2 linked regions of the Mus musculus genome follow. The protein of the gene in region 2 purifies or fractionates together with the protein of the main gene of each other region. This does not show direct contact. Links are inferred from orthologs where the notes say so. Each region holds a gene or a part of one and is shown on either strand. Other genes may lie near its edges.

Evidence for each region.
Region 1: the proteins of Osbpl11 (region 2) and Vapa purify together in Homo sapiens (co-immunoprecipitation; 4 studies listed by BioGRID and IntAct, counting the BioPlex papers as one, with this or other methods). This does not show direct contact. The link is inferred for Mus musculus from reciprocal best matches to the Homo sapiens genes OSBPL11 and VAPA.

Annotation. Positions count from the first base shown.
Region 1 is NC_000083.6:65,592,774-65,596,595, forward strand, and holds part of Vapa (vesicle-associated membrane protein-associated protein A), read right to left. Parts: intron 2,282-3,822; coding exon 2,129-2,281; intron 771-2,128; coding exon 667-770; intron 1-666. UniProt on the Homo sapiens protein: Endoplasmic reticulum (ER)-anchored protein that mediates the formation of contact sites between the ER and endosomes via interaction with FFAT motif-containing proteins such as STARD3 or WDR44.
Region 2 is NC_000082.6:33,223,060-33,226,881, reverse strand, and holds part of Osbpl11 (oxysterol-binding protein-related protein 11), read right to left. Parts: intron 2,343-3,822; coding exon 2,202-2,342; intron 26-2,201; coding exon 1-25. UniProt on the Homo sapiens protein: Plays a role in regulating ADIPOQ and FABP4 levels in differentiating adipocytes and is also involved in regulation of adipocyte triglyceride storage. Weakly binds 25-hydroxycholesterol. Interacts with OSBPL9 to function as lipid transfer proteins.

The sequences.
Region 1 (3,822 bases), on a different chromosome or scaffold from region 2:
AAAAACAAAAATTCAAAGATGAAAAGAGAGAGAGCACCGTGGCAAGGAGGCTTCACCTGAAACCTTCAGGGACAACTGAAGCCTGAGTTGACTGCAGACTGCCTACAATCATGTACCAATGTCACTGCAGACCTACCATCACCATTAATTAAAGCTTTCATGGACACCGGGCTCGGCAGGGAAAGGCACCGCTGCCACACTGGTGGCCTGACTTTCATCCTAGAAACCATACTATGCAGTAGAATGGAAGGCCAGCCCCACCAAGCTATCTCTGACACCACAATAAAACAATGTGATGAAAAACGTGACAACAGCATCAGCAAGCAATCCACACGACTGTCTTCTCCACTTTAGCATGTCTAAATGGTTTCTAAAGAACAGTATTTCAGGCATGGTGAGTGGAGCACACCTTCAATCCCAGCAATGGAAGAGGCAGAGGCAAGAGGATCTCTGTAGGTTCAAAGCCAGCCTGGTCTACAAAGTTCCAGAACAAGCCGAATCATGCCTTGGAAAAAAATATATATCAAAAAACAAAACCTTTTAATTGTTTAAATTTTAATTTTGTTCTGATATTTAATTTTTGGCAAGGAAATATGGATTGTTGAGAGCTAAACAAAGTTTAAACTACATTTCCAAAAATAACTTCTGTACAACTTCTACACTTACCACAGCTTCCATATCTGAAATGTTTGGTGGAGCAAAAATTGTCTGTACCATGAACTTATGTTTACTCTTTTCATTCGGATCATAATCAAAGGGTTGCAGCATTACTAAATAAACAGAGAAAGCACACTGTCATCTACAGTTTACGTCCTATTTAATACCACCACACTAACACACAAACTTAATGCATACCAAGATGGGTTCAAAAACTTAAATTATCCTCAAGAGGCACAAGCAGCCTTTTAACTTTCAATTATTATTAAATTCATTTTGTGTTGATTTTAATTTAGATAACTTAGACACTTTTAATATAACTTATTTTTAAACTGGATTTTAAACAATTACTCAGAATGTGTTCATTTGTTTAAATCTAATTTTAAGAAAACAAAGGATAACTGATTGGTCTTTAGACTTTATTCCCAGATCCCAATAGCATTCACTTTTACGTCTCCAGACCTGAGTTGCCTGTACCAAGTTTTAAGGCTCCAGTTCAATTTATGTTACGTAAATCCAAGATGAGGTGATAAACAAATCAGTAATTACTAATGTATATTGGATACATTTACAGTCAGGTTCTACTTCTAAACAGTCTCACTGAGCCTTAAATAACTTACTATTTTAATATTCTATAAACTTGAAAATAAAAGCTGTAGTTATCTTAAAATTTAGGGATCACCTAAGTTATCAGGTCACCAAGAATTTTAATACACACATTTCTAACTCCATGATCTGTAATGACATAATCCATTTTTCCTGAGCCTTTTGTAATTAACAAATGCAGGAGTTGAAAGCTATTGTTTTTTTTGTTTTGTTTTTTTTTAAAAAAAAAAAAAAAGGAGTAAGTCTGTGTGAGCACAGAGAGGTTTTCCCACAAGTTAAAGTCTCATGGAGCCACACATGCTGTCAGACCTGCCACCTATGGCACGTGTTACAAAGTACTGTCTCCTTGGAAAGGCTGTCTAAGAAAGGAACATTTGGATAGCACAGTAGATCTCACAGCAGGAATACGTGATGTGTATGGAAGGAACTACTGTAAGCAATAAACAAGGAACAAGACACTGTTGTCATTTACACTGAAAGGAATAAAAACTCATCTGATTTTAAAAGTAGGCCCAAAACAGGCATTTTTTTTTTAAGACTCAAACGCTTCTGTAGATGCACAGAACATGATTTAATCACAAAACAGTGCCATTTCAAAGATAAATAAGAACACAAGCTACAGTGGAAAGCTGTGGAAATACAGAATAGATAACATTTCAAATTGACCCTAGGCAATCATACACTCCCACGTAAGTCTCGAGGAGGAAAGGTTCAATAAAATGTCTGTACGGTAAGATACCCAAGGAACATCTTTACACAAACACTGAAGCCAAATAATAAACAGATAAAAACACTAAACATCAAATGCAACAGTCATGAAATGTCAATATTCAAACCTACAAAGGTCTAGGACATGGAGTACTACCTGAAACAGTCACAATTGACCCCGGGTCAATAATCCCACTGTTGGGCCGCACACAGTACCGGCGAGGTGCTGTAGTCTTCACTTTGAAACACACTTTTCTATCCGATGGATTTTGCAATTTAAGATTTGTAGTGACTACATCTGTGAAGGGGCCTGAAAGGTAAGGGGCAGACAGAGAAAAGATTAACTGGAGTCACAACAAAAGCATAATTCAAGATTAAGTTAATATAATCTCAATCCCACTTTTCTAAAGAAAACAAAAATTGTCTCTCTTTTTTTTCAACTTTTGATGATTTCATCCATAAAATAACTATGATTTTTGTTCTTTAATTTTGGTTACATTTATCATGTTTGTGTTGCACATATGAACATGTACATGTCACAGTACGTATGTGGAGATCAGAAGACAACTTTTTACAACTGGTGCCCTCCTTTCGTTATGTGGGGTCCAAAAATCCAACTCCAGTCCTCAGGCTTAGCAACAAGGATCTCCATCCAATGAGCCATCTTGTCAGCCAAACTGTACTCATATAGCATGTTCATAACACATCACATGACTGACACAAGTCCCCCAGTGGTCTTCACCAGTGCTAATCTTTACGTTCACAGGCCAACTACAAAACTAAAACCTGACAGTACTCACTTGTCTCAATTCATTCATGCACGTGTATTAAGTACTTATGAGTGGTATGTCATATGCTCTATCTAAATACGAAGTCTTGTCTTAAAGCTTTAATTCTGTACTCAACAAAACGAATTCAAAAAGCTGACCCAGCTCTACTTAACCAGTATATCCTCAGTTTTTTGTTTTGTTTTTAAAACGGGCTGTGAGATGTGAAGATAAACTTATTTGGTTTCATCTGAAAAGCCAAAACAGATTATACAGTCTAAGTTTCACAGCAAGAATTTCTTGTTGATTTTGAAGGCATTTTAATTGTTTTAATGGTCTTGTAATGGTTTTCTTGTTTAATGGTTTTAAATGGCCTTTTAAACATCTATTTTATGCTTTTGCTTTTTATTTGTCAAAGGAGTGATATTGATGATCTTAACTAGAGCACTAAGAAGACTACTGGAGCATGGCTACAGTCCCACATTCAACCACCAGCACCAAAAAGGGAGGGAAAAGTCAAGAAGCCTGAAGGAAAAGACATTATAAAAGCCTTCCTATTTTTATCTAGCCTTTTTCATTCCCTTATTTGTCACTTAGACTGTATGTCTACATGCACAGCATCATCAGGATCAATGCTTTCCTACCATGTGGGTTCAAGGGATTGAACTATTTTCAAGCTTGGCTGCAAGCTCCCTGAACCAGAGTCACCTTCTAACCTGTTTGAGTCATAAACAAAGACTATGTTTTTTAAAACTTTGCAACAGTCATACTTTGAAATCTAGATTTAGAAAATTCACCAACCATGTACAATAAACTTTGAGTGTTGGTAAACTGTCTGAGACAAAGACTTTTTAAAGACAGACTAAATGTGCCTAATGCCTAACATGAGAAAAAAAACAATTTCACAAAAGTGGGAAAATTTAAAACTTAGTTCAAGCCTTGAGAAATAAGCTTTTACTTGGAGTGCCTGTTTCATTTTATGCCACTCCTTTCTTCTGTAGGCGATCTTATACTCTTTGCTGCTACCCAATTGTTGGTTTCTGATCAATAGATGGTGTCAGTGCCCATAAATCATGACTGTAAC
Region 2 (3,822 bases):
CCAGGATAAACGTAGGAAGCACCACCTAAAACATCAATATAAAGCAATTAAGAAGGGGGATTAATCCACATACATATTTGCAAAGTAATGATCTCTACCATCCAAGAGCATCTCAGACTAGACAGGTATTGGAAACAGAAATGCAAACCAAAGGACCTGGTCTTATTAAAAAAAACAAAACAAAAACAAAAACAACTCAAGCAGGAAGAAGCCCTAGCATGTTTAAAAGGAGGTGAGGCTCTGCCTGAATGGTTAAGATTAAATACAAATTCAAGATGAAAAAACAGACAGAAGGACTGACGTGAGTTCCAGAGCAGCAAGGACTGTTCCGGGGCTGTGTCTGACCCTCTTCCTAAGGCTCTCAGATTCCAGGGTGCGTGAATATATCAACACATAGCACACTACCAAACTATTAGATAAAACATGGTTTCTTCTCCTTTCTTTTTTTTTTTTCTTTTTTATCTTTTCTTCTCCTTTCTTTTTTATTTAAAGATTTAATTTTATTTTTTTAACTCTATGTCTATATTGTACAGGCAAGTGGAAGCCCAGTGGAAGCCAGAGCAGGGTTTCATGTCCCCTGAATTAAAGATGGGTTTAAGCTGCCTAACGAGGGTTCTGGGAACCAAACGGAAGTCATGTGCAAGAACGGTACCCACTCTTTACTGCTCGGGCATTCACTCCAGCCCACACCCCCTTTTCTCTTTAAAGATAAATTGTGCCAGGCGTGGTGGCACACGCCTTTAATCCCAGCACTTGGGAGGCAGAGGCAGGTGGATTTCTGAGTTCGAGGCCAGCCTGGTCTACAAAGTGAGTTCTAGGACAGCCAGGGCTATACAGAGAAACCCTGTCTCGAAAAACAAAAACAAAACAACAACAACAACAAAAAAAGATAAATTGTGCGAAGCTGAGCATGGCAGCACACACCTACAATCAAGGCACTCGTGAGCATGAGGCAGCATTCCTTCAAACGTGAGCCAGCCAGTATGTGCTAGTTCGTTTTTTTTTTTTTTTTAAAGATTTATTTATTATATGTAAGTACACTGTAGCTGTCTTCAGACACACCAGAAGAGGGAGTCAGTTCTTGTTACAGATGGTTGTGAGACACCATGTGGTTGCTGGGATTTGAACTCTGGACCTTTGGAAGAGCAGTCGGGTGCTCTTACCCACTGAGCCATCTCACCAGTCCTGCTAGTTCGTTTTTATAAACTGGACACAAGCCAGGATCATTTGGGAAGAAAGAACCTCAATGGAGAAAATGCCTCTATTTGATTGGCCTGTAGGCAAGTCTATAGGGGATTTTCTTGATTAGTGATTGATTTAGGAGGGCCTAGACCATTGTGGGAGGTACCATCCCTGGGCAGGTGATCCTGGATGGTATAGGAAGGCAGGCTAAGCTAGCCACGAGGAATAAGCAGTAAGCAGCACTCCCCCACAGCCTGGGCTCCAGTTCCCCTCTGCAGGTTTCCGTCTCAACTTATCTTCATGACAGACTATGAGCTGTAATCGGAAATAAACTCTTCTCCAAGTTAGTTTTGGTCATTGTTTTATCACAGCAACAGAGGAGCAAACTGAGATACAGGGCTACACAAACAGACACTGTCTTAATCAAACAAAACAAAAAGCTGTAGGTAAGGACCTCTTCACTGCTCATGAAAACTTTAGTAAGCAGCTCTCTTGACAGTGTGTCCTGCAGTGTCGCACTGCAAGCCTGGCCACCTGAGTTTGACCCCTCTAAAGTATGCTGGAAGGAAAGAACGGACGCTTGCCTGTAGCACCACACACATCATATAGACACACACAGGTTCAAAAGAAAAGGCTCCTATCAAGTGTGCAAGTCTAAGTTAAAAAACTAAAACCAACCAAGCACAACACCCCCCAGACAAACAAATGAACAAAGAACAGTTTTGACTTTTCAGTGATGTAGAGTCAATTCTAAAGACAAAAGGCTTTCTGTTTAAAGTGCCCTGACAGGTATGTATGGAAAACAATCTTTCACCTCTACATTTACAGCTTTCCATGGAACCCAAATCTCAGGTTATTTATGACAGATGTCTCCTAAGTAGCTCAGGCTGGCCATCTTCCTGCCTTGGTTTCACCTGTGCAAGGATGGCAGCCATGAAGCTCCCCACGGGGCTGTCTCCTGTCAGTCTGAGGCTTGAGGTACAGAGCCCTGGCCTCCCAGGCGCTGACCTGTCACTTACTCTGGTTAAGTCCATGCCCAGCTTGAGCTGTGACAGAAGGTGCAGGATGACACTGCGCTGCTCCTCCACGGCCCCCAGGTCATCCTCCTTGTTGTCACAGGTGTCCTCTACCTCATCATCTGCATTGATGTCTTCAGGTTCCTTGATGTGGGAGAAAGCAGAGTCCACTATTAAAGGTACTCATTAACGCCTACTGAGAAAAACAAGTCAGCCTTGGAGACATTTATACTGAGTCTAAATAGTCAGAGGGTAGGCAAAACCCTGCTGAAAATACAAATCCCATCATTAAGCCAAGAAATAAATTCCCTTTGGGGAGACCATAACTCTGGGATTAGCAGACGGTAGTCCTGTGACATATGTAACATGTGTTTCTGTTTACTCTTTGTTTGGCTTGAGACATCATCTTTCTGTGTAACCCTGGTTAACCCTGCCTTCACCACGTAACCCAGACCTCAAACTTGTGCCAGTTCTCCTGTCTAGCTTTCTAGGTACTGAGACCAGAGAAGTATGTTGACATGCCCAGCTAAAATATACTTATTTTTCAGGAACAATATTTTTCAAAAAGAGCCAGAAATGTCCCCTGAATAAATTTATCTTTGACCCAGACCTGGGAATCACCACATCTACAATATTAAGTGTTTTTTGTTTGTTTTGAGACAAAGTCTCTCACCATATAAGGCAAGCTGGCCTTGAACTCAGCCTCCCAAGTCTTGGGAGTACAGGCATAAGCCACCAAGTCTTGATAAATTCAGGTTTTGCTTTTTATTAATTGAAAAAAAAATTTGTGTGTGTGTGTGTGTGTGTGTGTGTGTGTGTGTGAAAGAGAAAAAGAAAAAGAAAGAGGGAGGGAGGGAGGGAGGCAGGCAGTCAGTGTGTCTGTTGATGCGACTGTGAGTGTGCAGGTGCAAGGAAAGGCCTGAGTCCATCGATTCCCTGAATGTGGGGTTGTAACCACCCAACCGGAGACCCACACTCAGGTCCTCTTTAAGAGCAGTATGCCCTCTTAACTGCTATGCCATTTCTCCAACCCAAAATTCAAGGGATCTAAGGATGAAATATGTGTGCTTGTTTAAGCTAAAGCCATAAAGTAAAATTTAAAGGTGAATGCACACCACGTCAAGTCTAACCACTGTGAACTGTATTTTGCTATTCAGTTGTGCCTGAGAAGATCTGTGATTGAAGAGAGACCCTAGATATGCGTAAAAACTCTACCTTCTCAGGCAGTCACAGTGCCACCAAAAGCATTCTGTATTGTAATCAATAACACCTAGAAATTGAAAATGTGTACTTCCATATCACCAGTTCCTAATGACTGCTCACACAATTGCATATTTATTGCTAGGGTTTATGGTCTTTGGGTTTTTGAGATGATGGAGGAGAGCTCCACTCTACAGCCCAGGCTACATGCCTATTAATACTTGGTAACTTTTGTTTGTTTAGAAGTGTTTTGAAATGGCCCAGGCTGGACTTGAACTTGTCTCTGAACTCCTGATCCTCTTGCGTCTGCTTCCTACATAATCGTACAGGTGAGTACCTATTGTGCCTCTGACTGTGTGCACACACGTGAAGGCCACAGGCGATGTCAGAGCTCTTCCTGTATTGCCTTTCATTTATTTTTTAG